4 linked regions of the Arabidopsis thaliana genome follow. The main gene of each other region encodes a partner of the protein of the gene in region 2 in a complex. Each region holds a gene or a part of one and is shown on either strand. Other genes may lie near its edges.

Region 1 (4,990 bases), on a different chromosome or scaffold from region 2:
TGCTGCTATCCCTTTGTTGAATTTAATAAAATCAGTTTTCTATGTTTTCAGGAGCTACTATAAATGCACAGCTAATGGATGTACCGTAACGAAGCATGTAGAGAGAGCCTCTGATGACTTCAAGAGCGTACTAACAACTTATATAGGCAAGCACACCCACGTTGTACCAGCAGCACGCAACAGCAGCCACGTCGGTGCAGGCAGTTCAGGGACTCTCCAAGGCAGTTTAGCGACTCAGACCCACAACCACAATGTGCACTATCCAATGCCACACAGTAGATCTGAGGGACTGGCCACAGCCAACTCATCTCTATTTGACTTCCAGTCACACCTGAGGCATCCTACAGGTTTCTCCGTTTACATAGGCCAATCTGAGCTTTCTGATCTTTCAATGCCTGGTCTAACTATTGGGCAAGAGAAGCTTACCAGCCTGCAGGCGCCTGACATTGGGGATCCAACTGGCCTAATGTTGCAGTTAGCAGCACAGCCGAAGGTGGAACCAGTGTCACCACAACAGGGACTTGATTTGTCAGCGAGCTCATTGATATGCAGAGAGATGTTGAGTAGATTACGACAGATATGAAACAAATCTCTTTGTTCACTGATTGCTCAAATTTTTGAATAAATGAAAAATTGAGAGAAGGTAAAAGCTGTTTTGTTTTTACAGTCTTGTCGCAAAATTTAGTTAGGCCTAAACTTAGCTTCTGTCTAGACAAAGCTTAAACAGAAGAAAAGCTTCCTAGCTGTTTGTTTGGTTCCGAAAAGTGAAATGCCTTAAAAGAGTTCTAAATTTTCACTTAGGGACCAGACCACCAAAAGAAAGAAAAGGTTTTTTTACATTGAAACTAATCTTTACATGAACGCAGTCCTACCACCTCTTCGGCTGTGTTTGTCGTATGCAGTGTTGAATTTGTCAACCACCTCGTTCATGTTGCTGCATTTTGGGGGGAAAAAGGAGAGTAAGAGATCAAATATACAAAGGATTCTTTCAGGACATTTCGTTGGAATGAAATTGACATATGGATTGGTCAAGGTGTAGCACAAGATTAGATTTTTTTTTTAAAAAGAAGCTTATATTCCCTTAGCTACTACAGGCTCAGTATCTTAATTATAACAAGGATAATTGAGCAAGGTCCTAGATTTAGTTCTTAATCTAAATAAAACAAACTATCTCAATGTCAGCCTCAACCAAGTACTGGTGATTTCATCTGTCTTGGTATCGTAAAACATTGCATTGTATCAAGCAAAAGATTTGCATGCATGTCCATCATTCTTTTATTCAAATAGTTAAATGGAATAGCGTGTCGAGCACATACCTGGTACAATTCGTGATCATTGCTAGGTAAGACATCAGCAATTTGTCGTTGTACTCCTGCAAAAGAAGAGAACATCATATTTATAAAGATATCATTCACAACAACAAGCTACATTAAGAATTTAAGAGATTCGAAGGCCACTTTATTTAACCAACATTGCTAGAAAAAGGTAAGGTACTACTTACCATCAAGAAATTTTCATTGAACTTCTCTGATTCTGCGGCAGGCAAACTTCTGAGCAGACTAGATACTTGTCTCAGAACTGAGTTCTCACAAGGTTTATCACCTAGATGCAGAATCACATAAGTCATTAGTACCACATTACTCTTGCTCAAAATCATCTTCTAACACCCTTTTAATTCTTTCTTCCCCGTAGGAAAACACATAGAAATATTCTAAGATCAAGGGACAGGTCACAAAAGCTTGATTAACAAATTGAAGAGGGACCGAGAGTGGGGACTTGAGCAAGAATATACCTTTCTGCATAGCGACAATATGCTGGTATAGCACTCTGATTCTGCTATTAAGCATCTTGATGGCACTATGTATTCCAGTAAGATGAGCAGCCACTGCACAAAATCGAGGAATCAACCTAAAATTCCATGCAGATGAAAAAGAAAGAACAGATTATGATAAATATGAAGTGATAATAAAGCTTACACTGAGTCGCAGCTGAGCCTCCATCAGATGGCTTAAGATGTGCAACATGATCAACAGATATTCTTTCAGCTTCAACTGTCTGCACGCGTTTACAATCATTGCAATGTTATTGAAAGTCCACTCTCATATCACATAGATAGATTACAGATCAAGTGGCCTAAACACATACCTCAATTGTGTAGCTGGTATGCACGAAAATCGACTGAGGAATTCCATCAATGACATGAAATTCTTCAAATTTTGAAAACAATCAAAAAGACAGGATTAGCAAGATTATAATCTATAAAACAATAAGACAATCAGTGATGCAAATAACCAATTTTTACCGCTTTCGTAGATAGTCACAGGAAGATCCTTCTGTGCATGATTGATAGCAGGATTTAAAAGAACATACACAGGAGATTCATTAATGTCCATCAGCTGTAGATGAAAACCTCAACAAATCAGTACAATGAGAATCCTAAATTCAATTAAATTTATATTAAACATTAAAGCTACACTACTCACAGCTTTGTGGATATGCATATCAGATTCGGTAGCGTCACTTCCCGTAGAATACCATCCCAATACGTAGAAGTCAGGGAACACCTTCTTATCTAAAAAATAACAAAACTCACAAATTAGCAAGAGTATCAAACAATCGACAACAAAAGTGAGCGAGTGTAAGTAAACTTACAGAGTTCTTGCTTCTTCTCGAGGAAGGATCTGTCGAGAGTATCAAGAGCAGGATCGAATATCAGCTCGAAACTGTTGAAGATCTCAACCGTACGACCTCTCTGGAGACCGATGACGCAGCCATAAACCCTAGGGTTTTGCAGTAACATCGCGTCGGCGTTGTTGGAGCCATTCCCGGTGGCGCAAGAAGCGGCGGGAGGATTAAGCTGAGTTTTAACCCTAGTGAAGTGATCGGATATGTTAAGCATCACCAGAGGATGTAGCTTGAACGTGAGACCGCTCGACGAAGAAGGCGCCATTGTTGTCGCTCTCGATTTTTTCCCGGCGCTTGTCGTTGTCCTCCTTTAGTCCCAAATTCTGAAATCGGATCTTAAACTCGGGTCATGAATCTTTATATAGTCTTGGCCTCTTGGGCTTTCCTTCTAAGTTTAGCCCATATATAACTTTCTTTTGTTAGAAAAATAATGGAAAAGATTATAGCATGTACTTAATTTTTTAGCGTTTTAGTATATATTTATAATTTGAATATAAATCTTTGAAAGAAATATCTATTTTTTTAATATGAAATTTCTTGTATTTTAATGAATTTGAAAAATAATTATGATTGGATTTTGAATCATTTACTTCTTTTTTTTTGGTTTGAGTATATAGAAATAACATAAAGATCATAATGAATTAATTTTATTTAATATTATTGGATATGTTTGTAAGTGTTACTATTAAAATTTTATTATGTGTGTAGTCTGTTTTAATTCTTCTTTTCGTAATATATATATATATATATATATATATTGATATTTTAAACTATTTTTAGTTTATATAACATATCTTTAAATATGTTTCCTATGTTGTAAGTAGTACCTATCAATATTTTACAGAATATTACAGTTTTGTATTCTGAATGCAATCTTTTAAATTAAATTTCATTTAAATTTCATAAAAATAGTTAAGGCTACATTTAAATCTGTATTATTGTTATTTCATTAATTAAAAATATAACTGTATATAGTTTATGAGAAATCCCACATTAAAAGTGGAAATAGAATATGAGTAATATACAGTATATAAACCAAATCTACTCATAAACAATTAGTTTTGAGTTTGGAACCATAAAACTTAATATAGTAAATTGATAAATATGTTATTTTAGATTCTATATATACCATATATAACTCCTAGTCTCCTATGATATATCTGTCATTACATCGTAAATTGCTTATCACTAGCCAGTAGCCACCAGCCGCAGCCTCTGCACCCTTACTCATATCATTAACACATTGCTGGCTTGCAAGGTACAATCTTTAGTTATGTCATTCAAGTCTTCATATTACGGTAGATTTTTCCAACCGTATTGTTCAAACAATTGTATCCGACAATATAATCATGCATGGGATCTCGTCAAACTCTAACGACATGCTTTTTGACTTATGATAACTTTTTTTCTTTTCTTCAGTCAATCTTATCAAGTCATCGTCTACGCTTTTTTCCACCATCGCCTTCACTTTGAAGAAGCGTGAGTGTAGGTAGTGCTATATACTTGTGGGAAATTTGGGAATATGCTCATTTACATTTTTACATGTATAGACATAAATCTTTAGGTTGGATATGTGACATATTATTTATGATTCTTTTTTCAATTTATATAAACTAGTAGACCACGATTTAGTTTTCTCACTGATTAGCAAATGATGGATTTGGTCCGTATTGAAAATAAAAGACATATATATATATATATGTGTGTTCCGTTTTCCTGAAATCAACTGCAAAAAGTTTTCAACAAACGATTAAGAAAAATGAAAGTGACACATTAACACGTTAGATAATGCATTAACAAAATATTCTTTCTTTTCTTTTTTCTTCATTCTTTTTACCTTCGTTTATAGGAGGGAAGAAAATGAACCAGAATTTTGTTGATATTGAAAAACCAATCCGAATAAAGAATCTACGAAATGACACTATACTAAACTCGTTCTATGGTAGAATGTCTTTGCACCCGATAGCAAAAGTTATTGTAGAAAACTATTTTATACCTAAACAATTCACAAACCTCGGAGAAATGATATTGTTGTATATTTAGAAATGTATATCAAAAGAAGAAAATAGTCTTTAGTGGACACTGACAGACAACGACTAGTTTTATATGTAACCATCAGTTCATCTTTCTAGATAAAACCAATGTTAAACGCAACTGCTAATCTCTTCTTCTTTTCTTTTGTCAACCACCAAGGCACCAACTGCTAATCTCTTTAGACTCTAGAGATAGCGAAATATCTTCATTATTTCATAATATACATAACAATTTTATTAATCCTTAATTCAAAATTGCTTGGAAAACACTG
Region 2 (4,864 bases):
TTTAATGAAATCCAATGTTATTAAACTAATAATTTAAAAATTAACTTTAAAATCAATTGTTATTGAAAACAGTTTGTGGAGTTGATTCTTATTCATCTTGAAAGATTTGAGAAAACTTCTTTAGTTACAAATACACAAATTCAAATCTCATGGTTTTAGATAGAATTTGAAAAGATTTCTATAATTTTAAGAAAGTTGATGTGATTAATTGTACAATCTTTTCAAATTCCATCTACAATCATGAGATTTGTTTTCAATAACAGTTGATTTAAAAGTAAATTTTAAAATCGTTAGTTCAATAACACTTGATTTTAATAGAGTTTTTAAAATCCATGATTGATAAATTTTACACAAATCACTTAAAATACTAGATTGAATACACTTCTACAAAATCATCAAAATCATATAACTACTTACCCTCCCCCTCCCACCCCCCTCTAAATTAACCGTCATTTTAACAAAAACTGCATGTAACAAAACTTTCAAATTTTACCGAATGTGACAAAACTTTCAAAACTGCATGTAACAAAACTTTCAAATTTTACCGAATGTGACAAAACTTTCAAATGGGACAACACTTTCAAAAACAGCAACATTTACCACATGTCACAAAACTTTCAAATTTTACTTTTATACTTTCACGTAATCTAATTCTATTACCACTTTGTTAGCAACCACTCCTTCCCCATGATCTCAAAATGTATCCTCTCCTCTAAACTTTCTTCCACTTTTTTTTTTATAAGTAATTGTAACAGTCAAACAGATGCATTAACTTCTTCTTTATTGCTCTTCTTTCTCACAAACTCAGAAGATCTTCCATTTTTTTTTTCAAAATCCAACTAAAGGCAATTATGTTTTATTTTGCCAAAATATTTTGATATATGATGTAATTTGGCATTTATTTTGTATCAGCATAGCAGGGGCGGCCATAATCTTAGTATATGCATATAATTGAGGCTGCTCTTAAATTTTAGCGTATTTATATTGTAGTGAATTCTTTGTCTTGTATAATATTTTGGATGTAGGACCTGAATGTTGGTACATGAAGACAATCTAATATTTTTAAAGCAGTTATCATTAAGCATTTAAGCAAGTAATGAAACACAACAACACGGTAGAAATTTAAGCAAGCACTTTGATGATCTCTCTCCTTAACTCAAAACATCTTTATAGTATTGTTGTGTTTCATTATTTGTTCTATGTTAATTGCTTTACAAATATTACACTGTGTCCTTGTACAAATATTTAGGTCTAATGCTAAAACTAATTTTTCTTTTGATTCGCAACACTCAAAATAAAAAACTGATCGAAAGCTAACCTTATGTTATACTCTCTGAGTTCTGACACAAACAAGAGAAGAAAAGAGAGGAAAGTGATTTAGATGCTTTGATCGATGATAGAATGAGAAGACAAAAGCTTGACTTTATAGCTAAAGATCAACGTCTATGCCATAAAGTCAAGCATAATTCACACAATATATAAGTTGAACATGCTATCAAAATAAGCTTACTACATTGGTGAAATTATGCATGTGTGGATATCTCAAGAAATATGCATGAGATGCATTACTCTTCTTTTACGCTTTGTGATTTAAGATATTGTATGCCAAATCTATGTGTTGCCAACATTGATTTCTATACCAATTGGTTGATACAATGACTGGAATTTATCCTTTGATTTGCCAACATTGATTTCTATAAAAGTTAAACAAACTAAAAATAAAAAGGGAAAAATATTTAATAAAAAATGTACAATATTAAATTTCCATAAAAATTTTATATGGTTAATGTTTTGGATTAGCATTAGTCCCCAAATCCCATATTAAGTAAATCCATTTTGAGTTTTGTTCTCGCAAACCGGTTTAACCCAAGAACCCAAAGATCTCTCTCTATTTGTTTGCCTTCTTCTTTCTTTCTGACTCAAACCCTCAAATCAATTCTCGCGATTAAGCAAAACCCTAGATTTATTCTACTCTTCGAAGTCGATTTCAATGGAAGGTTCCTCGTCAGCCATCGCGAGGAAGACATGGGAGCTAGAGAACAACATTCTCCCAGTGGAACCAACCGATTCAGCCTCCGACAGTATATTCCACTACGACGACGCTTCACAAGCCAAAATCCAGCAGGAGAAGCCATGGGCCTCCGATCCTAACTACTTCAAGCGCGTTCACATCTCAGCCCTTGCTCTTCTCAAGATGGTGGTTCACGCTCGCTCCGGTGGCACAATCGAGATCATGGGTCTTATGCAGGGTAAAACCGAGGGTGATACAATCATCGTTATGGATGCTTTTGCTTTGCCTGTTGAAGGTACTGAGACTAGGGTTAATGCTCAGTCTGATGCCTATGAGTATATGGTTGAATACTCTCAGACCAGCAAGCTGGTAAGATATCTCTTATTCATCTCTCGCTGTAGCTCCTTGTTTAATTAGCTAGTTGCTACTTGGATCCTTTATGCAAGATTTTGCGAGTGTTTGATTGATTGGTTATGACTGTAACTTTGAACTATAGGCTGGGAGGTTGGAGAACGTTGTTGGATGGTATCACTCTCACCCTGGGTATGGATGTTGGCTCTCGGGTATTGATGTTTCGACACAGATGCTTAACCAACAGTATCAGGAGCCATTCTTAGCTGTTGTTATTGATCCAACAAGGACTGTTTCGGCTGGTAAGGTTGAGATTGGGGCATTCAGAACATATCCAGAGGGACATAAGATCTCGGATGATCATGTTTCTGAGTATCAGACTATCCCTCTTAACAAGATTGAGGACTTTGGTGTACATTGCAAACAGGTATGTATAATTCTTATTTATCGATTTTAAAACTTGGGAGGGTTTTAATCATCGATCTTATGATTCATTTTTTTTGTATGTGGCAGTACTACTCATTGGACATCACTTATTTCAAGTCATCTCTCGATAGTCACCTTCTGGATCTCCTTTGGAACAAGTACTGGGTGAACACTCTTTCTTCTTCCCCACTGTTGGGCAATGGAGACTATGTTGCCGGGCAAATATCAGACTTGGGTAAATTCTTGTATATATGAAAGAGCAAGTTAATTTACTTTTCATCCAGGTCGTAGTTTGATATATCCTCTTTTCTTACCATTTAATTGTTTACATGATGAAGCTGAGAAGCTCGAGCAAGCGGAGAGTCAGCTCGCTAACTCCCGGTATGGAGGAATTGCGCCAGCCGGTCACCAAAGGAGGAAAGAGGTTTGTCTAAATGGTTGCTTTAGCAAAATTATTTGTTATGTTCTCAATGTTTATTGACTGTCTGAGATACTGGACCATGATCTTGAGCTCATACACTTGCCACTTTTCAAGCTTGTTCCTGTGTAGAAACTTTTCATTTGGCTAATTAACTGCTACTATCAACATCTAGCAACTTGGATTAAATTTGAACTTTTTATTCTTAGGCATTATGTTGACTGGATATTGACTAATAGAAACTCTACCTGCAAAACACTATGTTTTACCTTTTCTGGGTTTGAAATTTCACAATTGAGTGTATGTTTAGTCAAAAATATACAGAGCTATTAAAGTTTGAACTAGTAAAACAGGGAGACTTTGATGTATCAATTTGTCAACGAGTTGTTGCCAATAGTCTATGTCTGCTTCCTAGAGTTCTGTTATCTCTGGCTGTGTGACTCATTTTGATATTGTTTTAATCTTCTTTACATAAAAACATTTGTTTTGGAGATTACATTACCTAAGTATATGTGTTGTGGACCACTTTCAGGATGAGCCTCAACTCGCGAAGATAACTCGGGATAGTGCAAAGATAACTGTCGAGCAGGTCCATGGACTAATGTCACAGGTGAGTAAATACAATCTGACAATGCTGATCCTATTTCCCCTTGCGGTTAATGGATCCATGAAATTGACTTAAAAAGTCTTTCATCCATCAATGTGCAGGTTATCAAAGACATCTTGTTCAATTCCGCTCGTCAGTCCAAGAAGTCTGCTGACGACTCATCAGATCCAGAGCCCATGATTACATCGTGAAGTTGGTCTATTCTTTTGTTTTTTGGCTGCGGAAATTGACTATCGGTTTGACCCGGTTTATGAGGCAATGCCCATTGTTCCCTATATCTCTAGTGTAGTATCTGCTTCAGACAAAGATCTTTGGGTTATTAAATGACATTAACATAAATCGATCATTATGTTTTTGCGTTTGACTATCTTGATTTAGTGGTATTAAAAACCAAATTCCAGATACACACGTGATGTCACAGTAATCATGTGCCTGTTACGGAACCATGTGCAAAAAATTGACACAAGCATACAAATGTTCTCCAACGATTGAAGCAACAATGATTCTAGGCCCTCTTTTCTTTCTGTTCTTCATCACATGAAATTCATCAGGATGTTGTTTTTCACATTTATGTTTGAACAGCATTTCTTTTGTTAAAAGCGAACAAATTCTATTCTAAAACCGAAATTGTCATTACAACAAGACCACGATTTAAGGGTACTAAAAGCGGATTAAGATTTCTGCATTCGAACAAACTGACTACTAAACGAACATCAGGCCGAGAAAACAGTCGGTAGGAAGAGATAACGTGTGAAGTTACTTGAGTAGGATTAAGAGTAAGGTAGTAGTAATTGATAGAAGCTGCGTGGGGCTTAATCAATAATGACATCCTCACTTAACCAGCATTACTGGAAAACAAGAATAAGAAACCACATGATGATGTCAAAGACTTTTTGGGCCTTCGCGTATCCCTAAATGGGCCTATTTACGGCCTAATACTTGTCTAATGTATAGTTGGGTAGAACAAGAAGGTCCGAGAGTTCGAAGCTTAAGCCATTCTATCTTTTCTGGGGATCTAGAAGATCCAAATGATCAAAGAAGATATTATGAA
Region 3 (4,559 bases), on a different chromosome or scaffold from region 2:
CTCAAACATAGGTCCCATTGGAGGCATAGGTCCACCTTGCTGTACCTCATCCCAAGCTGCACCCAAACCATTCTGATCAACAGAGCGAAAACCACGGAAGAACTCTGACCCCTAATGTAAAAATTGCAAACCCATCAGCCATCACAGAGGCTAGATAATCAGAGTCAATACTACCATTGTAAAACCAAAACTTTCCACAACATTAACCTGAGCACCCGGTTGCAGAAGTGGCTGATCTAACTCAGAACCAGGAAGTGACCTTATCTGTTGGTCTTCAGAGTAAAATTGTGGCCGAGGACCTGACCGGTTTGCATTAGGTATCTCCTTGAGCCTTTCCTGCACAACAAATCACCAATCATCAACATTTCTTCAAATTCTCAGGAAATTTTAAACCTTTAAACAATTGTCAGCCAAATCACTTGACATAATCGAAGAACGTCTAAAACCCTAACACTACGGAAAGAAAAATCGAAACTTGGCAAGCAAATAACAAAACCCAACGAAAAATGAGATCTAATTCGACTTCTTAGTTCCAGGAGAACCAAGGAAAAGGCGAAGAATGGAATCAGGAGACTTCAAATGTCAACACTGTTTCGATCAAAAAGGAATCAGGAAGCTAACCTGGGTTTTGGAAGACGAACCAAGTAAAGCGTTGGTGAGAGCTCCGAGAGGATTAGAAGAAGAAGACGAACCAGGAACGGCACAAGCGGCTCCGCCGTTAACAAGGTCTCTCATCGCCATGTTTCCAACGGGTTTCTACTCCTCCGCCGCAATCACCGTCGTTGAATCTATCAGTATGGTTTCCTCCGTTGTCCGGAATTGATCATCAACCTCCCAAATCCTAATCTTTAGTTTGGCTCGTCTCGTGGCGGTGTTTTTTTTGTTTGTTGTGTTTGGTCACAGCTTCGTAAGAAATTATTAAATTTTTTGATAGTATTTTGGTAATTAATATTTATATATTATCCACACCACACACATTTTTAGGCTCACCAACACATTTTTGTTTAGTTATTTATTTTTGTGAAAAAACCGTTTTTTACAGTATCCGTAATTAAAAATGAATTGTTGTGAATATAGTTTTTTTTTATCTTTCTTTATCAAGATATGTTTTATCTTTTTGTCCGATTTGCTGCCACTTTTGAATTTTGTAGTTTCCTATTAGTGTTGAATTATATTTGCTTGATCATACCAAAGATAAATAAATTATATTGCTTGATTTTTGCTGGGTTTAGTTATATTTCTTGATTGATTGTGCAATGCGTTACAAACGAAGGTAGATTCTACTCTTGTACTCATATCACACATTTGGACGACCAACATGACTTCACTAATTTCATCAATAACTAAAAAAAAAAAAAAAATTCATCTACATCAACAATAGTTACAATATGCTAGGCATCTCTAGATTTTTTTTTCCTTTCATTAACTTGCAAGAATTTACACACTAGAAATCAAACATTTTGTGGAAAAAATTATAACCTTTAGTCTAACCACTGAACTATTGAACTTTCATATTGAAAAATTTGATGAATGTTGTCTGTTTTCAAATTTCTAGTACATTTTTTGTCAACTTCAGATATCTGATTTTATGAGTCTCAATCGTTTGGTTTATCTTATTTTCGTTTGTTAATTAATATAATTAGTTTCCAAAATGAAAAAATGTAATTGGAAAAACAAGTCATGAGGCCCAACCGCATATATAAGTCCTACGCTCGGCCCATACAGAAAAAACTAATATCCATATAGTTGACCCGGAAGACCCGATCTAGGATCCGAATCCACATTGATTTAAATAAAAAAAATCTTCATAAAAAAACTAAAAACCCAAAAACCAAAGAATTCATCAAAGGAGAGAGAGATCGACAATGGCACCTTCGTCATCAAGCGGTTTAACCTTCAAGCTACATCCTTTGGTAATCGTCAACATATCGGATCACTACACTAGGGTCAAAACTCAGCTCAATCCTCCTGCTTCAATCTGCGCAAGCGGCCATGGCTCAAACAACGGCGAAGCAATGTTCCAGCAAAACCCTAGGGTTTACGGATGTGTGATCGGTGTCCAGAGAGGTCGTACTGTTGAGATATTCAACAGTTTCGAGCTTTTATATGATCCTTCTACTCAAACCCTTGATAGATCTTTCCTCGAGAAGAAGCAAGAGCTCTGTAAGCTAAAGCTCACTCTTTTTATTCTCAACTATTGATGCAATCGTAAATTAAAGTTTGAACTTTTATCTGGTTTTATTGTTTATTAGATAAGAAGGTGTTCCCTGATTTCTATATTCTGGGATGGTACTCTACGGGAAGTGATGCTGAGGAATCTGATATGCATATCCATAAAGCTGTGAGTCCAATGCTCTCTCTAGTATTTTTGTATAATTGAGATTTGGTCTCTAAAAGTGTGGTTTTTGTGTCTGCTCTTGGTGACAGTTGATGGATATCAATGAATCTCCTGTTTATGTGCTTTTAAACCCTGCTATCAATCACACACAGAAGGATCTTCCAGTGACTATTTATGAAAGTGGTATGCTTCTTATAATGTCATATGGTTCTGTGGGTACATTCTGATATGTTAGCATGTTAGTATAGGTATATGCGTAGTTCAGAGTTTCTAGATATCTTCCCAAGTCTTTATCTTTATTGACTTCCAGATTTAGGTCAGATTGTTTTACAAGATCCTAACTTTTCTCTTTGTTTCATTGATTGATCTTCATTACTTGAAGAATTGCATGTCATTGATGGAATCCCGCAGCTAATTTTCGCTCATACAAGCTACACAATCGAGGTCTGTGCTTAAGTTTGATTCTGCAAATAATTTTTTTTTTTTTTGTCAAACATTCTGCAATTTAATCTATGTTATGAAAGTGTACATTGACTAAGATTTTGAGGTGTTATACAATGTAGACAGTTGAAGCTGAACGGATATCAGTTGATCATGTTGCACATCTTAAACCATCTGACGGAGGCTCAGCAGCAACCCAGTGTGAGCCTTATGTCACTAATACATATCATACTCCACTTCCTGAGTCTTACTGTTTTTGGCTGATTATTCGTTCATATGCAGTGGCTGCTCATCTTACTGGTATACATAGTGCCATCAAGATGCTTAATAGCAGAATCAGAGTGCTTTACCAAAATCTTGCTGCAATGCAGAAAGGTATATTCTGTTCTTTCCCAAGTTCCGATTCTTATCACCGTGGTTTCATGTTTACCAGTCCAGGATTCTAGCTGAAGATAGTCAAAGTTGTGTAAGTGTAATAATTTATCTGCCAACTCATTTATGTGTGTAGGTGATAAATCTTGTGACAACTCAGTTCTGAGACAAGTATCTAGCCTGCTAAGAAGATTGCCTGCCATGGAATCAGAGAGATTTCAAGATAATTTCTTGATGGTGAGTTAGTTAGATCTGCACTTGATTCTTTTCAGTGTAGCTTATTGTCTGAGATATTTCGCAACTTATGCTGGCATTTTTTCTTTTTGCAGGAGTACAACGACAAATTACTAATAACTTACCTAGCGATGATTACAAATTGTTCCAGGTTTGTACCTAATGCAACATTCTAAAGTATTTGAAAGCAAGTATATAGGCTAGCGAATGCTCTTTAACTAGTGGTTCTTTAGGAACTGTGAAAGATACGGTTTTCACCGGGCTGGTGGATTCTGTTATATCAGTTAATAATTTTGTTTGCTCAATCTGCAGCAACATGAACGAGATGGTCGACAAATTCAACACCGCATATGACAGAAACACTCGAAGAGGTGGAAGAACTGCATTCATGTAAAAGATCCTTTCCAGCGATTCTAGTTCTAAAGATCTTCTCTTGGTTCCTGAAACCATTTTTAACATTGCCTCTGTGAGAATCTATAACTCAGACGGCAAGACTTTATCCTCTTCATTGTTTCTATATCTATAAGAACATCTGCTTATCTATCAAAGCTCTTGTTTGATCTTGAACAAGTTTCTATTGTTAGTAAAAAGATTTTAAGGTTTGATTCTATCAGTCTCTCTAGTTACATCCACATCAGTCTCCAGTTAGCAATTGCAGTATTGCTACACAACACTCACTTTTTTCTTCTTTGTTGATTTCAATATAAGATAAAGAACCAGTAAAAAAGAAGACAAAACCAAGGAATGAACAATAAAACAGCCTTTACCTTCCCCAAAGTTTGAAACCAATAAATGAAAGAAGAAGAAGAAGCAGAAATTAAAAGTTATTATAAGGAGTGACCAAATGCAGAAGAAGAAGAAGAAGAGTAAATTTCAAATCTGAGGTAATCTACTCATGATCTGGTTATATACCGATTGTCCTGAATCTGAAACCGGTTCAACCTTTGGTTCCATCCCTCTCTGCATCATTGCTTCACTCATCCCAACCGGTTGTGTCATATACGGGTGAGGCAAACCCGGCATTTTCCCTTGACCATACGCTAAACCAGGCATTGAAAGATTAACCAAACCGGTTTGTCCTAAACCGAAGGAGAAACCAGAAGGAGGACCCAAATGTGGCTGAAAGCTAAAGGGACGGCTAAAAGGAGACTGATTGTTAGTTGTGACTTGTCTG
Region 4 (4,170 bases), on a different chromosome or scaffold from region 2:
AATATCATGCATTTATACTATCTTACAATTTACCAAGCCACAGAAGACAGTATTATTATCTGACTAGTACTGACATTGAATTATACCGTGTGCTAAACATGAATATAAAGAGACTAACCATGATTATCCTCTGAGTTCTCTTTGAGATATGAAAGCATTCTTCTGTAATTTACAGAACCTGGCACTTTAAATAGCTTGCGCCGGCAGCACAGCTGTTTCATGTCACAACAGGGAAAATGTCAAAAACAGATTCTTAAATAAGGAACAAGACTGCAGCTTCTTAAAAAAAAACAGATCATACAGAAATTTTGTTGCCACTGGATGAAGTCATCTTCTTGAAAGGGCTATTGTTTCCATGAGCTTTAACAAAGCTATTGGCAGATACGGTTTCAGGAAGTCGGTAATTTGCTGCCATCAATTCACCTCTTTCATCCTTAGGATCTTTTGCATCACCATCTCGGGTAACATCTGCAGCTTCCATCAAGTAAGGAAGCATTCTTCTATAGCTCACAGAGCCAGGGTTCTTGAAAATCTTTTCCGGATGACGAATCTGTATACATATCACAAGAAGAAAATTAAGCAACCAACGAAAAGCCAATATTGTAGTTTAAACGCATCATTTGCTATAAAACCATGAGTAAAAAACATACCACTTTGCTGCCGAGATTGGTACCAACTTTCTTCCCAGAGACCTCACTGATCTCTTGATTGATAGAACCTGCTTCATTTTTCACCAAAGAAAGCTCACCGGTGAACATTCCTAAATCCGGTGGCGTCGTTTGTGAGCATTCCACTACTTCTAAATCACCTCCAGTAGCCACTAATCCATCAACAAGATATTTGCTTCCTTCTCTCATAACTGTTTTCACCATTGTGTAATCATTATAGTTTCTAAACAGATATTGAAATTTCCTAATTCCACCTTCATTATATCAACATTCTCCTAAATTTTCTTAGAAAAACTTGTACAAGAAAAAGACCTTAAAATAAGAATTACCATTAGAATTCGGAGTATCGCAAGGAGATTCCACATTTAGCTCCTTGGTTAGATTTCCCCCTTTCACATGAAAGTCCCAATCACTAGAGATGGAACTAGGAGAGAATACGCGTCTGAGACACAGATTCTTCACGGTGACACGAGAACAAGTTCGGGGCATTTGAGTAACAATTTTCCCTTTGATCGGTGACGCATGATGGTGACGAAGATCCGTGACAATGTGAGACAATGGGGATGCAAATCGAACGGAGGAACGATTGCTCTGAGTTCGTAATTTGCTTGCCATAAGGTTCTGAGAGGTAGTATAACGAACTGAAGAAGACGAAAATCGCATCTTCTTCCTCAATATAGGATCTGATTCGGCCATGGTAGAACTCGCGCCAAGAGAGAGCTACAGAGAGAGAGAGAGAGTGTGTGTGAGAGTGAGAGAGACTGTTTGTTATTTTGGCGGGAACAGACCGGGTGGCTTTATGATGTTTGGCGGGAAACTAAGGCTTAGTGGGCTTGGCCCATTTATCCTCTTGTGTTTGGTCAATTTTTTGGTCGGTTTAAGTAAACCGTATTGAAAAGATTATTAAAACCTGTAAATCTCACAGAATTTATTTTTCTTTTCCCTGGAGTGGTTTTGGGAGTAGAATTGTCATCTTCGCAAAAGCTTCGAGAGTAGTGCAATCGAAACAAGTCATGGATCTTTCGCCTGTTAAGGAAGCTTTGGCCGCCAAATCCTTTGACAAAATCGCCGATATCTGCGATACTCTCATGCTTCAGGTTCGTAATTTCTCTCGCTGTCGTTGTTTCTGATGTTCATTAGGGTTTTGTGAAGTGGATTTTGTGGTGTTAATCGTTCGATTTATCGCTTCTTAATTTTTTTTATAGGTTGCTTCCGAAGGAATTGAATATCATGATGATTGGCCTTACGCAATCCATCTTCTGGGTTACTTTTACGTTGACGATTGGTGAGTTTATTTTCTTCTTTGATGTATTTGTTTGCGTTGTGAACCTAAAGTTAGTTCCTTTATGAAATTAGAGATTGTTTCGTTGAACTCTTGTGAATTTTAGCGCGTCAAAGTTGTTCTTACTACTTCGATTGCTAGGTCCTAGGTTGAATCTAAGGTCTAAAGTCTGCTTTTTACATTACCTTGTTTCTATCCAGTGATTTGAAAAATTAAAACTTGACACAAGTTAGTAGTTGTTGAGACCCATTTAACATTTTTTTCCTTTGTGTATTGATAGTGAGTGTAGTATGTTGAAACTATTGAGTTATGGTTGTGCCTTCTTGACTATGGATTTGGTTTTGATGTTTTGCTGTGCTTGTTTGGAAATACTGCAGTGATAGCGCACGTTTCCTCTGGAAAAGGATACCTACAGCTATCAAGGAGAGGAAGCCTGAAGTTGTTGCAGCTTGGGGGATTGGTCAGAAGCTGTGGACACACGACTATGCAGGTGTATATGAAGCTATTCGGGGTTATGATTGGAGTCAAGAAGCTAAAGATATGGTTGCTGCCTTCTCAGGTAAATTTTTTCTCTGTTTATGACTTCTTAGCTAGTATGAATTGGTTTCTTGAACTAAGCTTGTTGATTGCTTATGTAGTTGTGTACTTTTATTACTTCATATCCCTCTTTAGGTTTTGAGCTTTGATATACATATTGAGATCGAATAGTTGTTTTATTGTTTTAACTTGTGAGGCCTAGTTTAGGATTTCTGTTATGCACAGAACCACCTTTCATCTTATCATTGAACTATTGGAACTCGAATTTGAATCAAATTTCATCAATGTATGTGCCTTATCACTTCTTCATTAGAAAGTAGTTGCTTCTGTGGTCTAACTGAGAGAGAGGTAGGTAGACTCACACAGGAGGAACGAGTAAGCAGTTGACAGACTTTTCCAACCAAATGTCTAAACGTTGATCTGAATTTTGTGAAGTTGTACCTTTTTCCACATCAATTGTTCAACACCTGACCTTTATGGGTCACTTTCCATCAGATTCTAATTCTATTTCTGAATTGGTTTTGTTGTAGATCTTTACACAAAAAGGATGTTTCAGCTTTTGTTGTCTGCCTACTCCACAATTACCATCCATGATTTAGCTCTTTTCCTAGGGATGACGGAGGATGATGCCACAACTTGTAAGCTTCTTTCTGCAATTTCCTTTGCTTACAAAAGATTAAGTACCTCATTTCACATTTCTATTGAATTCTACTGAATTGATTCTTATATTGATACTTTTGAAAAATGTCGAAGAGTTTGTGGCAATGTCTTAGCTTAGTGTTATTGTAGGCATGAATCTTATGACAACCATATATGTTACGGAATCAGAATTAACAGTATAATTGTTTTCTTTATTGCTGGATATATACACAGATGTTGTAGAGAATGGATGGACAGTGGATGCAGCTTCTCAAATGGCGAGTGTGAAGAAACAAGCTGTTAAAAGAGAGCAAAAGGTGGATTCATCGAAGCTACAACGCTTGACGGAGTATGTGTTCCACCTTGAACATTAAAACTAAGTGCCGATCTCCTATTAAGATAGTGAAATTCTAAGAACAGAATTCGTTTTTGAGAGATTTCACAATGACTGATTCTAAGTTGCAACATATCTTGACTCTTTGAGTATATGATGAATAACTCCTACCAATTTTACTCTTATAAGATCAGTTTACACCAACAGGCGAACTAAAACAAACATTTAAAAGATCAGTTTACACAAAAGACGAACTGAAACAAACAAAAGATGAAGTCAATATTATGAGCCAAAAAGGACACAGCCTAAATAACACACGTTTTCAGAACAAAATTAGGCAGAAACAAGAGAAGATCATTTTAGCGACTATAACAAGCTAGCCAATCTCTGAGATAAAAGATGATAATCTTCAAACCGGAGAGGTACTCTAGAAGAATAGGAGCCATTTGTCGATCTAGTAGATGACAAGCTGGGGTTATCAGAGATTAATAATTCTTAATTTATTATTAAATTATCGATAAATGAACAATTTTAAATTTATTGAGAGATTTTACTATTCTTTTATAATTTTTAAAACTGGTTTATGTGAAAAGCAGTTTTTGTAGTTATAATCAACATCCTTTTAAAAATAATGAAAAATATAAAAAGTAAATAATTATTAAGTCTAGAAAACAAAAAGAAAAAAAAATTGATACTGTAGAAATATTAGA

What was found.
Region 1: CSN5A (region 2) and CSN6B share a complex: the UniProt entries of both Arabidopsis thaliana proteins name them as parts of the CSN complex.
Region 3: CSN5A (region 2) and CSN6A share a complex: the UniProt entries of both Arabidopsis thaliana proteins name them as parts of the CSN complex.
Region 4: CSN5A (region 2) and COP9 share a complex: the UniProt entries of both Arabidopsis thaliana proteins name them as parts of the CSN complex.

What each region holds. Positions count from the first base shown.
Region 1 is NC_003075.7:13,353,189-13,358,178, reverse strand, and holds CSN6B (COP9 signalosome subunit 6B), read right to left. Parts: upstream 3,188-4,990; 5' UTR 2,951-3,187; coding exon 2,653-2,950; intron 2,573-2,652; coding exon 2,484-2,572; intron 2,397-2,483; coding exon 2,303-2,396; intron 2,208-2,302; coding exon 2,146-2,207; intron 2,056-2,145; coding exon 1,977-2,055; intron 1,886-1,976; coding exon 1,793-1,885; intron 1,603-1,792; coding exon 1,502-1,602; intron 1,373-1,501; coding exon 1,317-1,372; intron 935-1,316; coding exon 853-934; 3' UTR 584-852; downstream 1-583. Other genes in the region: WRKY34 (WRKY DNA-binding protein 34), read left to right, coding at 52-583. UniProt on the Arabidopsis thaliana protein: Component of the COP9 signalosome complex (CSN), a complex involved in various cellular and developmental processes such as photomorphogenesis and auxin and jasmonate responses.
Region 2 is NC_003070.9:8,109,022-8,113,885, reverse strand, and holds CSN5A (COP9 signalosome 5A), read left to right. Parts: upstream 1-1,824; 5' UTR 1,825-1,990; coding exon 1,991-2,380; intron 2,381-2,507; coding exon 2,508-2,789; intron 2,790-2,875; coding exon 2,876-3,023; intron 3,024-3,126; coding exon 3,127-3,212; intron 3,213-3,738; coding exon 3,739-3,816; coding exon of another isoform or gene 3,817-3,888; exon of another isoform or gene 3,889-3,914; coding exon 3,915-4,004; 3' UTR 4,005-4,312; downstream 4,313-4,864. UniProt on the Arabidopsis thaliana protein: Probable protease subunit of the COP9 signalosome complex (CSN), a complex involved in various cellular and developmental processes such as photomorphogenesis and auxin and jasmonate responses.
Region 3 is NC_003076.8:22,782,837-22,787,395, reverse strand, and holds CSN6A (COP9 signalosome subunit 6A), read left to right. Parts: upstream 1-1,790; 5' UTR 1,791-1,865; coding exon 1,866-2,163; intron 2,164-2,252; coding exon 2,253-2,341; intron 2,342-2,427; coding exon 2,428-2,521; intron 2,522-2,720; coding exon 2,721-2,782; intron 2,783-2,901; coding exon 2,902-2,980; intron 2,981-3,061; coding exon 3,062-3,154; intron 3,155-3,287; coding exon 3,288-3,388; intron 3,389-3,480; coding exon 3,481-3,536; intron 3,537-3,697; coding exon 3,698-3,779; 3' UTR 3,780-4,012; downstream 4,013-4,559. Other genes in the region: PEX5 (peroxin 5), read right to left, coding at 1-111, 208-336, 622-741; WRKY2 (WRKY DNA-binding protein 2), read right to left, coding at 4,259-4,559. UniProt on the Arabidopsis thaliana protein: Component of the COP9 signalosome complex (CSN), a complex involved in various cellular and developmental processes such as photomorphogenesis and auxin and jasmonate responses.
Region 4 is NC_003075.7:8,132,379-8,136,548, reverse strand, and holds COP9 (COP9 signalosome, subunit CSN8), read left to right. Parts: upstream 1-1,560; 5' UTR 1,561-1,681; coding exon 1,682-1,765; intron 1,766-1,873; coding exon 1,874-1,953; intron 1,954-2,327; coding exon 2,328-2,509; intron 2,510-3,017; coding exon 3,018-3,125; intron 3,126-3,360; coding exon 3,361-3,500; 3' UTR 3,501-3,669; downstream 3,670-4,170. Other genes in the region: AT4G14120 (uncharacterized protein), read right to left, coding at 119-212, 302-550, 651-859, 998-1,364. UniProt on the Arabidopsis thaliana protein: Component of the COP9 signalosome complex (CSN), a complex involved in various cellular and developmental processes such as photomorphogenesis and auxin and jasmonate responses.